2 linked regions of the Alligator mississippiensis genome follow. The protein of the gene in region 2 purifies or fractionates together with the protein of the main gene of each other region. This does not show direct contact. Links are inferred from orthologs where the notes say so. Each region holds a gene or a part of one and is shown on either strand. Other genes may lie near its edges.

Region 1 (7,299 bases), on a different chromosome or scaffold from region 2:
CCACTGACCAATGAGTCACTACTCATGAAAGTGTTCTCAACTGTAAGCTTTAAGATATGCTTTCTGTATTTATTTGGCACACAATACATTTCCTAGAGATGTGGGTATAAAATTTGGCTCAACAGAACATTACTACTAATTCAGCCCTTTTGCCAAAAAATTCGTCAATAGTTTTGTGGCTGTCTACTGCTTATTAAGACTGTTTTTTGTTTTGTTTTAAATACAGCACTACAAATACATTGCTGCACTCTGCATCAGTACTACTACCCAAAGCCCGCTTGCCTTTTTCTTCAGCTCTTATTCTAGCACGTTTTCCATTATCGTGAATGTTCTGGACACCCGTACAAATTTGAGCTTAGGAAGTTCACCAAAAACTTATCATGGCAAGGGGCAAACGAATGGTGAGTGGAGGTCCACCTTGAAGTTTTAAGGACCACTCAGCTTCCCCGGGTTCTACCAGTTTCATTGAATCATAGAAAATTTGGGGTGGGAGGGAGCTCAGGAGGTCACATGTAGTCCAACCCCCTGCTCCAAGCAAGACCAGCCCAACTACATCATCCCAGACAAAGCATTCACTGCCGCTCACCAGATTCAGAAGGAAAAGGCGGTGGTGAAACTGCCGGGTGTGTTGCTCATGTCACCTGCGGGTGCTTGGAAAGACCCTGGCCAGTAGAAGTGGTACTGGACCCAGTGGATCCAGACTCCGGTCTTAGCCACATAATTAACAACAGGCATGATAAATTTAAAAAATGATCAAGACAAGGCATGCTGCTGAATTTCCTCGCGGTAAAACTGAGGTGGCCCTGTCTTCCCTTCAGGATAGGTAATGCACACTGGTTACTCTGAGGCGCACACGTACATAAAAAACCCCCAACCAAAGTGAAGCAGGGCCTCAGAAAGATGTACAGTCCATTCATCCTGGAAGATTATTTTCTCGTAGCTTCCACCCACTCAGCATGGTGCTTGCACCCTCGTTTTGGCTAGGTTAAACCCTAAAGTTGATGAGCCTGCTATAGTCCTGGCAGGGAGAACAAAGGCTTTGGAGTTAAAAACAAACCCCAACACATAAAAACAACTCATAGTAGAAAACTCATGCTTTTGAATGCAGAGGTCCCAGGTTCAATCCCTGCTGCTGACAACACACTCAGGTCCTGCCTTCCAAGTGGTGGCTCACACAGGGATCTGGATTAGGTTGACCTCTGCACCTTAGGTCCAGCTTTCCCACTCACATTTTCAACAAAAACTCTCGCTCTCTCTCTCAAAAAAAAGCATAAAATCTGCAGAAGCATCTGGCCCGCTCAGTCCTCTCGCCAGGTAAAGCATTGATTGCGAGTCTGCAACTGATCAGATTTTCCAAGTCATACTATAAAGATATCATTGAAGTTTAAATTCGATTGGTTTAAAACACGAAATGGAAAAGGATAACTTAAATACAAGACAAAACCCGCTCAGAGCGCTCGACACAGAACTTCTGCTGAACCGAAAATCCTAACGCTGAACACGTCCATGTGAGCAGCTTTTAATAAGCACCGGCTCTGCAGGCATTTCAAACTAGTGTGAGACGTTTAGGCCCTTTTTCTTCCTCATTTGGCAAATACTGTGCAAGCGTGCACACTTAAATATTGCCCATTAAGTAACATTTCTCGTGTCAGTTCTACTGCAAGGCAGGGCCTTTGTTCTTCGCTGGCCCCGGCACGTCTTTCACTTTCAACTTTTCCCCCCTCTCGCAAGGCTTCCTGCTCTTAAGGATGTCATACAAGCGTAAGGAGCACAAAGGGCTTGACAAATTACAGCCCTGTCCACAGCAGAAACATCTTCTAAAAGCTCCTCCTCGCTGCTAACATCTCCTCTGATGCCTGGGATAGCGGGCGCCGTGCAGCAGGCAGGTCACCAACACTTTTAACACCCCGGGAAACAAACCCGCTCTCGGCATTTTAAAGCGGCATCGAAAACTGCCAGCCGCCCCCCCTGCGCGGGAGGGCGAGCGGGGCTGAGGATGTCACCGAGACACGTCCAGCCCAGGCAGCAGCACAAACTTTGAGAAAACTTCCCTGATGTCAGAGCAGGGCCCGAGGGCCGGGAAGTGCCGCAACTTCCCCCGGCCCGAAGGGATTCAGGGCTCGTGTCCTCCGAGTGCTGCTTTCGGGCAGGCCCAAGGACACGCGGGAGATGACACCCGTGTGGAGGTCAGCGCGGGGCTGCCCTGGGCCTGCTGCACCCCGCGCAGCCCCTCCGGGATGGGGGGCCGCCTAGGGCGAGGTGTCCTCGGCCCCACCCTGCCACGCCGGGACCACGCGCTCTCCCGCCCCCGGCACTGCTGCGGGTGGGGCACAGCACAGCCCCACGCACCTGTCGTGGCACCCCACACACCCCAAGGGGGGGAGGGGGCACACACCCCAAAGGGGGGGGGAGGGGGCACACACCCCAAAGGGGGGGGGAGGGGGCACACACCCCAAAGGGGGGGGGAGGGGGCACACACCCCAAAGGGGGGGGGAGGGGGCAACTCCACACACCCCAAGAGGGGGGAGGGGGCACACACCCCAAAGGGGGGGGAGGGGGCAACTCCACACACCCCAAGAGGGGGGAGGGGGCATACACCCCAAAGGGGGGGGAGAGGGCAACTCCACACACCCCAACGGGGGGGGAGGGGGCAGCCCCACACACCCCAAGGGGGGGGGAGGGGGCACACACCCCAAGGGGGGGGGAGGGGGCAGCCCCACACACCCCAAGGGGGGGGGAGGGGGCAAACACCCCAAGGGGGGGGCTATAACCCCATAAGCGGGGGGCAGCCCCCCTGGACCAGTCCCCCGGTCACTATGTGGCAGGAAGCGCCCCCCCACCACAGGCCCGTGGCTCCCTATGTGGCAGCGGCCTGGAGCCCGGCTGCCCCCCCTCGCCCTCCCGCGCGCGCTCGCTCACCCCCGCTTGGAGCCGCGTCTCGGCCGCCGCCGCCGCCGCTACCCCCGGGGCGGGCCGCCCCCGCCGGCCGCCATTCCGCGACTCCCCTCCCGCCCGCCCGGCCCGGCGCGGCCCCGCCCCGCCTCCCCGGGCGCCGGCGCGCCGCCCCATTGGCTCCCCGCCTGCCTCTCCCCGCATGCCATTGGCTGCTGGGCGCCGCCTGTCAAAGCCGCCGTGCTGCGCCGCTTGCGTACGACGCTAGCGTAACACCGGGGCCGCACCCAAGCGGGCGACGCAAACAGAGTAAACAAGGGGGAACGTACCACCCGCGGGGAGGGGAGGGGAGGGGAAGCGAAGCATGGCTGCTTGGGGTGGGAACTCAAGGCTAGCACTTGACGGAAATAGTTATGTGTCTTCTTTGGATGCCATTGGGCTGCCTTGTTTTTCTTTTTTTTTAGGGAACGGTGGGCATTTCCAGGGCTGACCCACCCCTCATTTGGCATTGGTCTTGTCCTACCCGCACGGCTCGTGAACTCTGAGGAAGGGTCCACTTCGGAAAAAGAAAAGGGGGAGGGGGGATACTAGTAGAGGGAAGGGCCCAAATGGAAACGAGAGCGGGGGTGGGGCTGGGCCTTCCGGCAGGGGGCGGAGCAGAGGCGGGCGGTGCCTGTTTAACCCCTGCAGTGCCGCAGCCTGGCCTGCCTGCCACTTCCGGATTAAGAGGCACAACTAGCAGGGCAAGGAAATGGGCACAAGTCACATCAGCAGCACGAGCCAGAGGCCTCCATCTGCTCAGCCCACGAGGGATGGAGTGCCCTTGCAAATGCATTATAATTAATTCACTAAGTGCCACCCTACATTTGGGGTCCCCCCCCAAATCCCAATATATGCCCTTTGCAATGCTGCAGGGACGCGCGGCAGGCGAGAGCAGTGCAGGCGCTCCCCTTTGCACCAATGGCACACGCGTAGGAGCAAACTCCCCGATTCCCTCCCGGCCTTAGGGAAAGTTAGAGCAGCCTGGGGGTCGCTCTAAACTGTGCCAGCTGGAGCTGGATTAGGCACTAGCTAGAGCGCACCACAGCCCACCTACTTCCCCCTTGCGTTTCCACGTGCCACGGGAAGCTGGCTGCGCTGGGGACGTGGGACGGGAGCGGGGTGGGGTGGGGAAAGCAGCTCGTCCTCGCCCCACTTTGCGCACAGCACAAAGAGAACAGCCCAGGGACCCTCCTGGACTCCCCCGGCGCCCGCAGACGACACACCTGCCACACGAGCCACGTGCAAGGCCCGCGCAGCTCTCCGTCTCCCCTCCCGCAGCGCAGCACCTCGCGGGGCTGCCACAGCAAAGGCCAACAAAGGACGGCTCGGCAGCTGAACGCCGCAGCAACTGGGTCAGCGAGCATCTCCAGGGCTGAAGGTCACGCTCGTCTTAATCAGCACCTGCCAATCTGCCAGTGCTCCCTGACCGCATCCCATCTCCCCCCCCCCCTTCCCTGGGGCCTGCCTTTAGCTCACATCTTGAAATAATCAGGACTAATTACTTGGCGCCACCCCTCCAGGAGCTCCTCCCATCAGCACCAGGGATTCTCAAGCAGGGTGCCCTGAGATCCTCCCCGGGGTGCCACTGCCCGGTTAGCGATTCAGGAGAAAAACCCAGAGGTTTCAAATAGGAATCCGCAGCTGGGGTCTTTCCGAGTGCTTTGCCACAGGGAAAAAAAAAAATGCTCGTGTTATTTTTCTGTAGTCCAAAAAAACAGTGAAAGCGAAGAGCTGGCATTTTCCCAGGGGACCTTGAGTCTACGCCGGGACGAAGTTGAGAGCAACGGATCTACGCTCTCCCCGTGAGAAGCCCCTTGCCCGGTGCCCCGCACCTCTGCGGTGCTAACAAGCTCGCACCGCCGCAAGGCGTAGCCTCTGCCCCAACGGGAAGGTGCTGGAGGTTTTGGACTCCAGGTTTTCCTCGCTGCCAGTTCACTCGAAGAGGATTTGCTTCTCTCTCTAGGTGTCATAGCCTCAAGGGAGCCACCTAATCTGTGTCTGCTCTGCAACCTTTATCTCGGGGGGGGGGGGGGTGCTTGCACGCACACGTGTCTCAGTTTAGCCCTCCTGAATATGTGCTGTGCTGCAGTATCCCAGGCAGCCGCGCTGCCCCCTGACACTTATTTCTCTCCTGGAAAGGATCTCATCACCTGCCAATTGCCTTTCTGTATTTTCTGCCTGTAAATGATCCTCTGGCTGCGCTGCCCTGCAGACCGCCAAGGTGACTAGCTGAGCAGCTGGCGTGGGCGGGGGGGGGGGAGATGATGGAGGCTTTTCCATGACACGCTGCTTTCATGGTGAACTTCAGTCCTGAGCTTATGCTCCTTTTTTCTATCCTTCCCCAGCGCTGCAATCTCATTACGTTAAGCCCGTGGGTTGTGCCTGTCAAAATCTTAGTGCCGACCACCGAAGGGGGCCAGCAGACCGAACGAGGCCTTCTGGAAATAAGATGCTTGATCTCGGGGAGCTAAGTAAGATCAAGCCACTGCCCATCTGGACTCGGGAGGGCTCACTGGGCCATCGCACTGCAACTCTGCGTGGAGCTGACCATGTGCTCGGAGCTGCACAGGGTGATCTCTTCACGGCACTGCAGCATAACGGCAGCGTGTGTCGATAGGCAACTGCTTCGGTGCTAACAACCGCGTGGGTATTGCAGCACATCCGAGTACATCCCCGCTGCCCACATAACACGGGGGGTCTCTAGGAACGGGGGGCCTAAAAGCCTCCTTGCTCATCTGTAGCCCAGCACGTACCCAGGATTTCGGACAGGTTTGTCCAGCCTGCGTTGGAGCCTGTGCCGCTGCATTGCTAATCCCCGGGCAGGCTCGGTACGTGCTGCCGTCTCACCTGGGACTGCACGGTTGCCCTGCCTGAGGAGGGGTGCACGGAGCAGCGCACCCTCCGACCGAGAGGCACCCGCAGATTGCGACTGGCTTTGGGAAACGGAGGCAACGGGCAGGGATTTGCACCTGGCCTCGACATTAGAGCAACGCCTCCGGGGCCGAGCACTTGTTCACGTGCAGGCCTCCGAACCGGACCAAAGCTGAAGGGATGCGGGGACCGAAGAGCATCAAGTAAAGCCAGCCCGTCGAGCTGATTGATCTGCTTTGTGAAGACAGAGCGGTGGTGCAGTGCTGTGTGTTGGGGGCGGACGTGAAATCCTGCCTGTGAGCTTCAGCGGTCCCTTGGTTTTCCCAGCCAGCTGCTCACTTGTGCTGCGTGGAGGAGAGCTCTGCTTACATTTCTCATTCTGATAAGCTGCAAGGGAGGTTTGCGACGCGCTGGCTCGTCACGCCGTCAGCACTTTATGGACACGAAAACGGGCCTGTTCTTCAAAAGGGGCTCAACTCAGCGACCGAAGCCCCCAGGACCCCGAAATGACCTGTTTTGTAGGGAGGCCACGTAGCCTCGTGGTGACAGAGCAGGGCTGGGAGCTGGGAGCAGCGAGGTTTGATCCAGGCGCCGAGCTGCGACAGCGACTGGCATCACGTCAGTCCTAACCACAAACCCCTTTATCTCTCCGAGTCGCCGTTTCTCTCTCCGCAAGACGGAGACAGCTGCGCTTTTCTGTTTTGCAGAGCGCTCCGGTTTGTCATCCTCGAGATCTTCTGCCGGAGCCTGATCAGCATGGCACCCCAAGCCCAGCGGCCAGGCCAAGGGCCAAGGAGCACGCATCTTGCACCCCAGTCTCCCCCTTCGATTGATGCTTGCACGGGGCGCAGCGAGGGGCCGCGATAAACCTCGGGGGGGCTGGAGACCTGGGCTGGCAGCGGTCACGATGGCAAAGTGACAACGCCAGCACTGCCCAGGGGTCAGCGGGATCCCGGTTCCCCGTGGGCACGGAGGTGCCCTCGCCCCCAGCCTGGCTCGCTGCTTTGCCCGTGCCGCCGGGCGCCCAGGCCGGCGCTGGCGCTGGTGGAGGGCACTTGCGGGAACGCAGCGGTGCTGCTGACATTTACTAATCAGCGCTAACCTTAGATCCACACACACGCCGTCTCGCTCACTGTCTTGTCTCCATGGAGACACTGCAACCTTTGCTCACTAGTTAACGGTATCTCAGAAAAAACGAAACTCCGACGCCACCCTTCCTCCCGGCTCCCGCCCCCGTGGGAAGGGGGAACTTGCCCAGAGGAGACAAAACCTGGCTGTCGCCTCCGAGATATTTTGCATCTGCAGCCAGGGACAAGGGTGAGGCGGTGCTAAGAGGCAGGCAGGATTTGGCCCCCCGCCACCGAGTGCAAGAAGCGGGCTGGCACGGCCAGTTTGGGTGGCACTGATGCAGTGGGCAATAAAGACATGGTCTTATTTTGCATGGTCCACCCCAGAAACCAACTCAGGGAGTTTTTATTGCAGCAGCCGAAAGGG
Region 2 (7,713 bases):
GTCCAGAAACAGCATGGACAAGAGCTAGAAAGTGATTCAGGCTGTCTGCACTAGTCAGCTTGCTTTGGTCCAGCCGAAGAGACCCCTGCCCATGCCAAAACAGCTCTAAAAACTGCAGAGGGGGGATTTTACTGATCAGGGCACTCTAACCCAGCTGCCTGTGGTATCACAGACAGGGCAGCAGCGCCATGGGGAAGTGGGCAGAAAGCCTGGCACAGAGGACAGCAGCTGTGATGAGGAGAGATGGGCTTGTTTATGGCCACGGCCTGGCTCTTAAAGGATGCCCCACTTTGTGGCCTGTGCCAAGGACATCCACACTGCTGCTTATTTTTTATATCTTATATATTTCTTACATCTTATGGAGATGCACCACAGGTTTTCAAAGGATGCTGGTTTTCTACAGATTATGTGTCTCTCCTTCCAGATTTGTGCCTAGAGGCAGGTAGCGTGGGGTGCAGAGTACTTGGAAGTCGGGTGCAGAGAACTGGGGGGTTATTGCTGGCTGTGCTTGAACCCTGTCCACGGAGGTGACCCCCCGACACCCTGAAGGGAGAAGGCAGCAGTGGGATGGACCTTAGACCTAGACGTGGTGCTGAGCTGCCAGCATTGGGCTGGATGACTGCCAGGGTTGAGCTGTACTGTCTGCAGCACAGAGGGCTTCAGAGTGACCATAAATCAATGTAGATCTAGCCTCACAACCATCATGTTTCTGTGAAACCACCCTCCTTTGCTGAAGAGTCAGAAGAATAACTTCATCTGTGTGAACAGAGGAGAAGAATAAATTCATCTATCTCCATACTATGGGCAGAGGGAGGGGGTATACAAGTAGTCACTATATAGTGACCGCATGGCTGAAAACACGAGGAAGGGACGGAGCCAGGGGGAGAGAATGGGATTACAATGGACCGGGATGCAGGAGGAGGAAACATTCAGGATCGATCTCAGCCAGCGAGGCTTCTTCAGGCCCCATCTGTCCACCCCGACTCACGTGAAATAGGACTTCCAGGGGTGCACAGTCACTTTGCAATCCAGGAGATGCGTGCGGGGGGAGTGCAGCTCCCGGGGAGCCAGGCTTGCAGATCGGGGCTCCTGAGTCACTGCTACAAGTACGATTAATAAGCACGGCGCTCTCCTGCCCCTCTGCTACATCCCAGCCATGGCCAGCGGCCCTGTACGTGGAGTCCTTGAATCTGGACATAATCTAACCTCGCTAACCATCTTTTTTTTTGCTAGTCTAGAAGGTGCACCTCTACCATAAATGCAGACAAATAGGGCTAACTACCTTTCTCTTACCACCTCTGTGCTTTTGTGGGGGGGATGACTTAGCCAATATTTTCGTGGCAGGAGGTGACAAAGGAAAGGGATCCTGTGCTATTGTTTGGAAACGGCATTGCCAGAGTCCTGTCTAATTGGGATTGCTGGTAGATGACAGGGAAACATTCATTTCCTGGGAAACTCAATCTCACATAGGCAGAGAAGTGTAATGAATTGTGAGCCAAATGTTTGAAAAATCCCATCCTCCTTTCCTTGTTTTGTTCTTGTTGCTGCTATTGTTAATAGTGACAAGAACAACAATAATAGTTGCAGTATCACAGATTTGGGCTGCTCAGGCCGGGTTTGCTGGACAGACGCCGGCCCCACCGAGCAAGGTGCTGCGTGGTTCCTTTCGGCTTCCCTAAGGAAAATCAGCGGGAGGCATGAAGAGCTAAACTCTTCTCTCCAGGCAGCACCGCTGGATGGACGTGGGTTGAACAGACAGCAGGATTTAGCCCAAGTAATCCATCCCGGTGACCAGCATCTGACAGCTCTCCTCACCTAAGCCACCAGCAGCTGGTTCTTTCTGCTTCCCGTGTACAGCGGGCTGGCTCAGGTGGCTCGGCCGGCCCATAATCACTAGAGATCCCTCGGATCCAAAAACCACCGCCCCAGACCCCCGTGCTGAAAGCAGCAGATGGCTCGAGGGAGCCCAGTGAGGCTGCCCCTTGCTAAGGCTCTTTTCCCCTCTGAAGCATCAAGGTTTGTCCTGAATTCCCACCGCCAAGCAAATGCACAAACAACTCCAAGCCCCCGAGCACGCACAAAGGTCTCCGTTCGCCTCTCCCACCCCACCAGACCCCCTCAGCCTGCAGGCATTGCCTGCAACACCCACGGCTCCTTCCCTCACCCCGGGACCCGGCCGGCACCAAAGAGCTTGGGCTGGCAGGGGCGAGTGGGCAGGGACAGGTCTGCAGGCCCAGGCGGGGTCTCCAGGAGGGATGCTTCCATGGGACCCCAGCATCCAGGGGCTCCCTGGAGGGAAGCGCTCCCCGTACCCTCCTTAGGGAAGCAGGCAGCACCTTGCCTTCTGGGGCCAGGCCCTGGCTGACAAAGCCAGCACCGAGGAGCCCAAATGCAGTCATCCTCGCTGCTGCTACAGCTGCTGTGCTGGTTCCTTGGTGCTCCAGGCCCTGGCCAGACTCCTGCCCCACCTCTGCTGGGTCTGACCATGCCCATGCCCATGCCCGGTTCCCCTGCCCTCCAGCCCCATCTCTGCTGGGCCTGAACATGCCCATGCCTGCTTCCCCTGCACCCCAGCCCCTCTGCCCCATCTCTGCTGGGTCTGACCATGCCCATGCCCGGTTCCCCTGCCCTCCAGCCCCTCTGCCCCATCTCTGCTGGGTCTGACCATGCCCATGCCCGGTTCCCCTGCCCTCCAGCCCCTCTGCCCCATCTCTGCTGGGTCTGACCATGCCCATGCCCGGTTCCCCTGCACCCCAGCCCCCCTGCCCCATCTCTGCTGGGTCTGACAGTGGCCATGCCCAGCTCCCCTGCCCTCCAGCCCCATCCCTGCCTCTCCCACGCCCCAGGCAGGCTCTGGTCCTCCGGGCCCCTCCAGCCCCGGCAGCCGGGAGCATCCTGCTTGCCGCGGGATGGAGCGGGGGAGCCGCTTACCTGCGCCGCGGGGCCGGGCCGGGCCGGGCCGGGCCGCGCCGGGAGGAGGATGCTGCAGCCGCCGCCTCTGCTGCTGCAGCCGCTGCCGGTGCGTGCGCGTGTGCGCGTGTGAGCGAGTGTGAGCGCCTCCGTGTGTCACACAAAGAGAGGAAATGGCTGCAGCAAGTGCACTTCCTCGGCTCTCCGCTGCGCCCGGGCACCGGCCCCTGCAGCATCTACCTCTGCAGCATCTACCCCTGCCCCTACATCACCTACCCCTGCCCCTGCAGCATCTACCCCCTGCCCCTGCCCCTACATCATCTACCCCTGCAGCATCTACCCCTGCATCTACCCCTGCCCCTACATCACCTACCCCTGCCCCTGCAGCATCTACCCCCCTGCCCCTGCCCCTGCAGCATCTACCCCTGCATCTACCCCTGCCCCTACATCACCTACCCCTGCCCCTGCAGCATCTACCCCCCTGCCCCTGCCCCTACATCATCTACCCCTGCAGCATCTACCCCTGCCCCTACATCATCTACCCCTGCCCCTGCGGCATCTGCCCCTGCAGCATCTACCCCTCTGGCCCTGCCCCCCCCCCCAGCTCTTCCCCCAGAGATGCAAGGCTGCAGCAATGCCAGGTCCCCGGGGACCCCTGGGGTGCACCCCTGCCTCCTGGTCCCCTTCCCAAGGGAGGTTGTGACAGCGCAGGTGAGGCTGGACTATACAAGGAAATGTAGGACACGAGTGCTACTGGAGAGCGGCTTGGCAAGGGCAGGTGTGGTTTCAGCAGGGGGGCGTCCAAAAGGGCACGGTGCCATTGTTGTGCTTTTGCCACCAGCCTCCAAGGTCACCTCCAGAACGGGGGTTCCCAAACTCGGGCAGATGGAGCACCACCATTTAAAACGATACAGCCTTAAGTACCACTGGCAATTTTTTTAGTTCAACCTTAAGTGCCACCAGCAAGTTTTTATCATAAAATAATTATAATAAATCTGTTAACGTGTACCACTCTCAGGTTGTCCGGTATGCATCCCGCGGATTGGGAACTGCTGATCCAGAATATGGCAGGACCTACGATGGCCGATGGGCACCTGCTGGCTCCCAGGGAGAGGATCCCCTAGAGAAGGAAGAGCCGGGTGGTACGAAGGAGGTCTCACATCCATCCTCTCTCTGCTCCTTGTCTGGCTCAGCCACCTCCCTGTCAAACTGGAGTTGCCGCTCCATATCTGCATCCACCAGATGGAAGAAGAAGTGGTTTGAATGGGTCGACTGCGTAACGTCATGTTGCATGGCAATCCTTCTGGAGGAGCCAGAGCACCTTCTTTACAGCCGTGGCCAGCTTCGGGCATCGTCTGAGCTTTTCTCTGGCTATCAGGGTGGTTCAGCACCGGGTTGGATTCCTGAGAGAGCATCATGAGCCTCCTAGAGAAGACGACATCTAGTCCAACCCCCCCGCCTCAGGCAGGATCAGCCCTTTCCAGGCCCTGCCAGTTTGGAAGCTTTTAAGAGCAGATTAAACAAACACTTGTCCAGGGTGGTTGAGACAGGATTGATCCTGCCTTGAATTAGATGTGGCCTCCCAAGCTCCCTTCCAGCTGTAGTGTACTGTGATTTTCTGATGGGCTGGGATAGCAACATCAATGACTAGTGCTAGCCTGGTCATCTCATCCACAAACACGGTGTCTGAATATAAGAATTGCTGTCTACTGGGTCAGTCCTTAGGTCACAGAATAGAAATATAGAAAATTCAGGTTGGAAGAGAGCTCAGGAGTCACATCTAGTCCAGCCCCTGCTCCGAGCAGGACCAGCCCCAGCTACATCATCCCAGCCAAGGCTTTGTTGAGCTGGGTCTTAAACACTTCCAAGGATGGAGACTCCACCACCTCTCTAGGTAACCTGTTCCAGTGTTTTACTACCCTCCTAGAGAGAAAGTTTTTCTTAATATTCAATGTTATGACCCCTCATTCTTGCATTGGGAGAGAGAGTCAATAATAAATCCCGATTTACTTTCTTTTTCCAGTTAGTATTTGGTAGCCCCTTATCTGGGTGTGGTGGTTTGTGTGCCAAGGTTTGCTCCGCGATGGTTGACCTATCCCAATGTGTTTTGGTTTCATCATCTTCCAGCACTGGTGGCAATCTGTGCTTGCAGCGAGGGTCGGTAGCCTTGGCCATCTGTCCGGTACAAGCCAATCTGTAGGGCATTACCTTGGCCACAGCATTGTGCTGCTCAGTGCACGCTCAGGTCATGAGGTCCAGGCACCTGCCCATGAGACGGTGAATAGTTTCAGTGAGGAAGCCAAGCCCGCACCTGTCTGGCACGTCATCTTTCAGGGCAATGTCTTTTCTTCCAGTAGTCTGGTCCCAGATGTGAGCACACACGTGTGCATGCATGCTCACGCACACACACACACATGCATAGTGCCATGCTAACAGTTGAGTTGGGTGCATTTCTCAACAAGGAGAAATGCAAAGTGCTGCACCTAGGGAGGAAAAATGTCCAGCACACCTACAGCCTAGGGAATGACCTGCTGGGTGGCACAGAGGTGGAAAGGGATCTTGGAGTCCTAGTGGACTCCAAGATGAACGTGAGCCGGCAGTGTGACGAAGCCATCAGAAAAGCCAATGGCACTTTATCGTGCATCAGCAGATGCATGACAAATAGGTCCAGGGAGGTGATACTTCCCCTCTATCGGGCGCTGGTCAGACCGCAGTTGGAGTACTGCGTGCAATTCTGGGCGCCGCACTTCAAGAAGGATGCGGATAACCTGGAGAGGGTACAGCGAAGGGCAACTCGCATGGTCAAGGGCCTGCAGACCAAGCCCTACGAGGAGAGACTAGAGAAACTGGACCTTTTCAGCCTCCGCAAGAGAAGGTTGAGAGGCGACCTTGTGGCTGCCTATAAGTTCATCACGGGGGCACAGAAGGGAATTGGTGAGGATTTATTCACCAAGGCGCCCCCGGGGGTTACAAGAAACAATGGCCACAAGCTAGCAGAGAGCAGATTTAGATTGGACATTAGGAAGAACTTCTTCACAGTTCGAGTGGCCAAGGTCTGGAACGGGCTCCCAAGGGAGGTGGTGCTCTCCCCTACCCTGGGGGTCTTCAAGAGGAGGTTAGACGAGTATCTAGCTGGGGTCATCTAGACCCAGCACTCTTTCCTGCTTATGCAGGGGGTCGGACTTGATGATCTATTGAGGTCCCTTCCGACCCTAACATCTATGTATTACCACTTCTGGCTCGAGGGGTGAATCAAGTATTTGGAGTATTTGTCCAGGTTTGGAGGAGAACCTGGAGGTGGAATCAGATTCTGCTATTAGACTCCTAATTATTTGCAAAGGATGTGGCTGTCTGATTTCCCTGAATTTGTGAGGAGCCAGGGAACAGGACAGTTTCTTCGCTCGCAGCTCCAAGCCTCTTCCAGACGGCACTCGGCCCTAAAGCTCTCTCAGAGGCCATATTTCCAGTGGTTTTATCTTAAAGTTTTTGCTGCCTTCCCTCCCTGCTTCTCTGGCTTTTCTGCTGTTGCTCCCCCACATGTGTACCTTCACAGATCAATACCCAGAAAAACTCTCTTGCCTACATTTTCCTGTGCTTGGGATACAGGTTTCTGTGGGTTCAACATCCTGACTGCTGTAAGCATCTGGGTGGCTTTATTCAACCATTTTAAACCCTGCAGATTCACAGTCGTTTAGGCAAACCCATAGCAACCTCCTCCATCTTAGCTCTGCAGTGTATCCATGGAGTCTAAACTGGCAGCGCCGTTAGCCAGCTCATCTCAGCAGAAGCAATTCAGCAAATTGCACATGATGCAGTCTGAACTACAGACGTATTCCCAGAGCGTCTCCCTGCCAGGATATTTTCCTACCACCAGTCCCAAACAATTCAGCTCCCAACTAAATCTTGGAGTTTTCCTATCCCTGCCTGATTTCCTTTCAGGCAACCAGGATGAGCCCTCTCAATGATCCCCTGAAGATTTTTTTAGTCGCCAGTGCTGCTACAGGGATGCACGTGCCATCCTCACTGCACACTTCCTCCCCTACCTACAAATAAGGGTGCAAATGCTCTAGAGATTTAGCCACTGCCAGCACCCCTCTTGGGTGCTGCGATGCTTTCCCTCTGCAGAAGTCAGCCTTCGTTGCAATACGCTGTCGTGCTCTCAGGTTTTTTGTATTCTTGCATTAATACCGCCCCCAAACTGCGAGCGGTGGGATCGGCATCTAATGCAGAGGGTGACCCAAGTCAGGAGCAGTCACAAGGGCCTTCTGCTCTGAATTGCACCCGTGAGATCACTGAAATTGTTTCCCTTTCTCACCCGGCCTCTGCAACCGTTATGCAATATTAGCAAAACCACAAGTACACTTTCTGCAGCTGGATCATATCCTTGCAAAACTCGGAGGCCTGTGCATGCCTGGGGAGCTGCTCGGTTCCACGCAACCCTCGTTAGTTAGACTGCCTGTGGAAATTGTCCCCAACTTTTTGCTCAAGGTAAATGACCTCTTTTTAAAACAACTCACACTTTGCTAGGTAGTCTGGACTCAGACGGAGAGGCTGGAGCGTGAAGGGGCAAAAGGAGAGCTTATTCTCCCAGTGAAAACATAGATCCAGCTCACCGTTTTCCCTGTGCTCCTTGCACGCATGAAGCAAGCGAAGGGGATGGGGATGGGGATGGGTTGCCTGTGATGAAAGCAGGTGGAAGTGCATGTGGATACTGAACCCAGGATCTTTCAAGACAGCCAGGCAGATCCTGCTGGGTGGAGGCAATGGGAAAGGTCTAAGTACTGAGGTTGGAATCGATGATCT

The links. Proteins that work in one complex are often made in the same cells at the same time.
Region 1: the proteins of CYFIP2 (region 2) and WASF2 purify together in Homo sapiens (co-immunoprecipitation; 3 studies listed by BioGRID and IntAct, with this or other methods). This does not show direct contact. The link is inferred for Alligator mississippiensis from reciprocal best matches to the Homo sapiens genes CYFIP2 and WASF2.

The regions. Positions count from the first base shown.
Region 1 is NC_081829.1:2,438,654-2,445,952, reverse strand, and holds the start of WASF2 (actin-binding protein WASF2), read right to left. Parts: upstream 3,014-7,299; 5' UTR 2,920-3,013; intron 1-2,919. UniProt on the Homo sapiens protein: Downstream effector molecule involved in the transmission of signals from tyrosine kinase receptors and small GTPases to the actin cytoskeleton. Promotes formation of actin filaments. Part of the WAVE complex that regulates lamellipodia formation.
Region 2 is NC_081832.1:77,889,287-77,896,999, reverse strand, and holds the start of CYFIP2 (cytoplasmic FMR1-interacting protein 2), read right to left. Parts: upstream 3,014-7,713; 5' UTR 2,932-3,013; intron 1-2,931. UniProt on the Homo sapiens protein: Involved in T-cell adhesion and p53/TP53-dependent induction of apoptosis. Does not bind RNA. As component of the WAVE1 complex, required for BDNF-NTRK2 endocytic trafficking and signaling from early endosomes.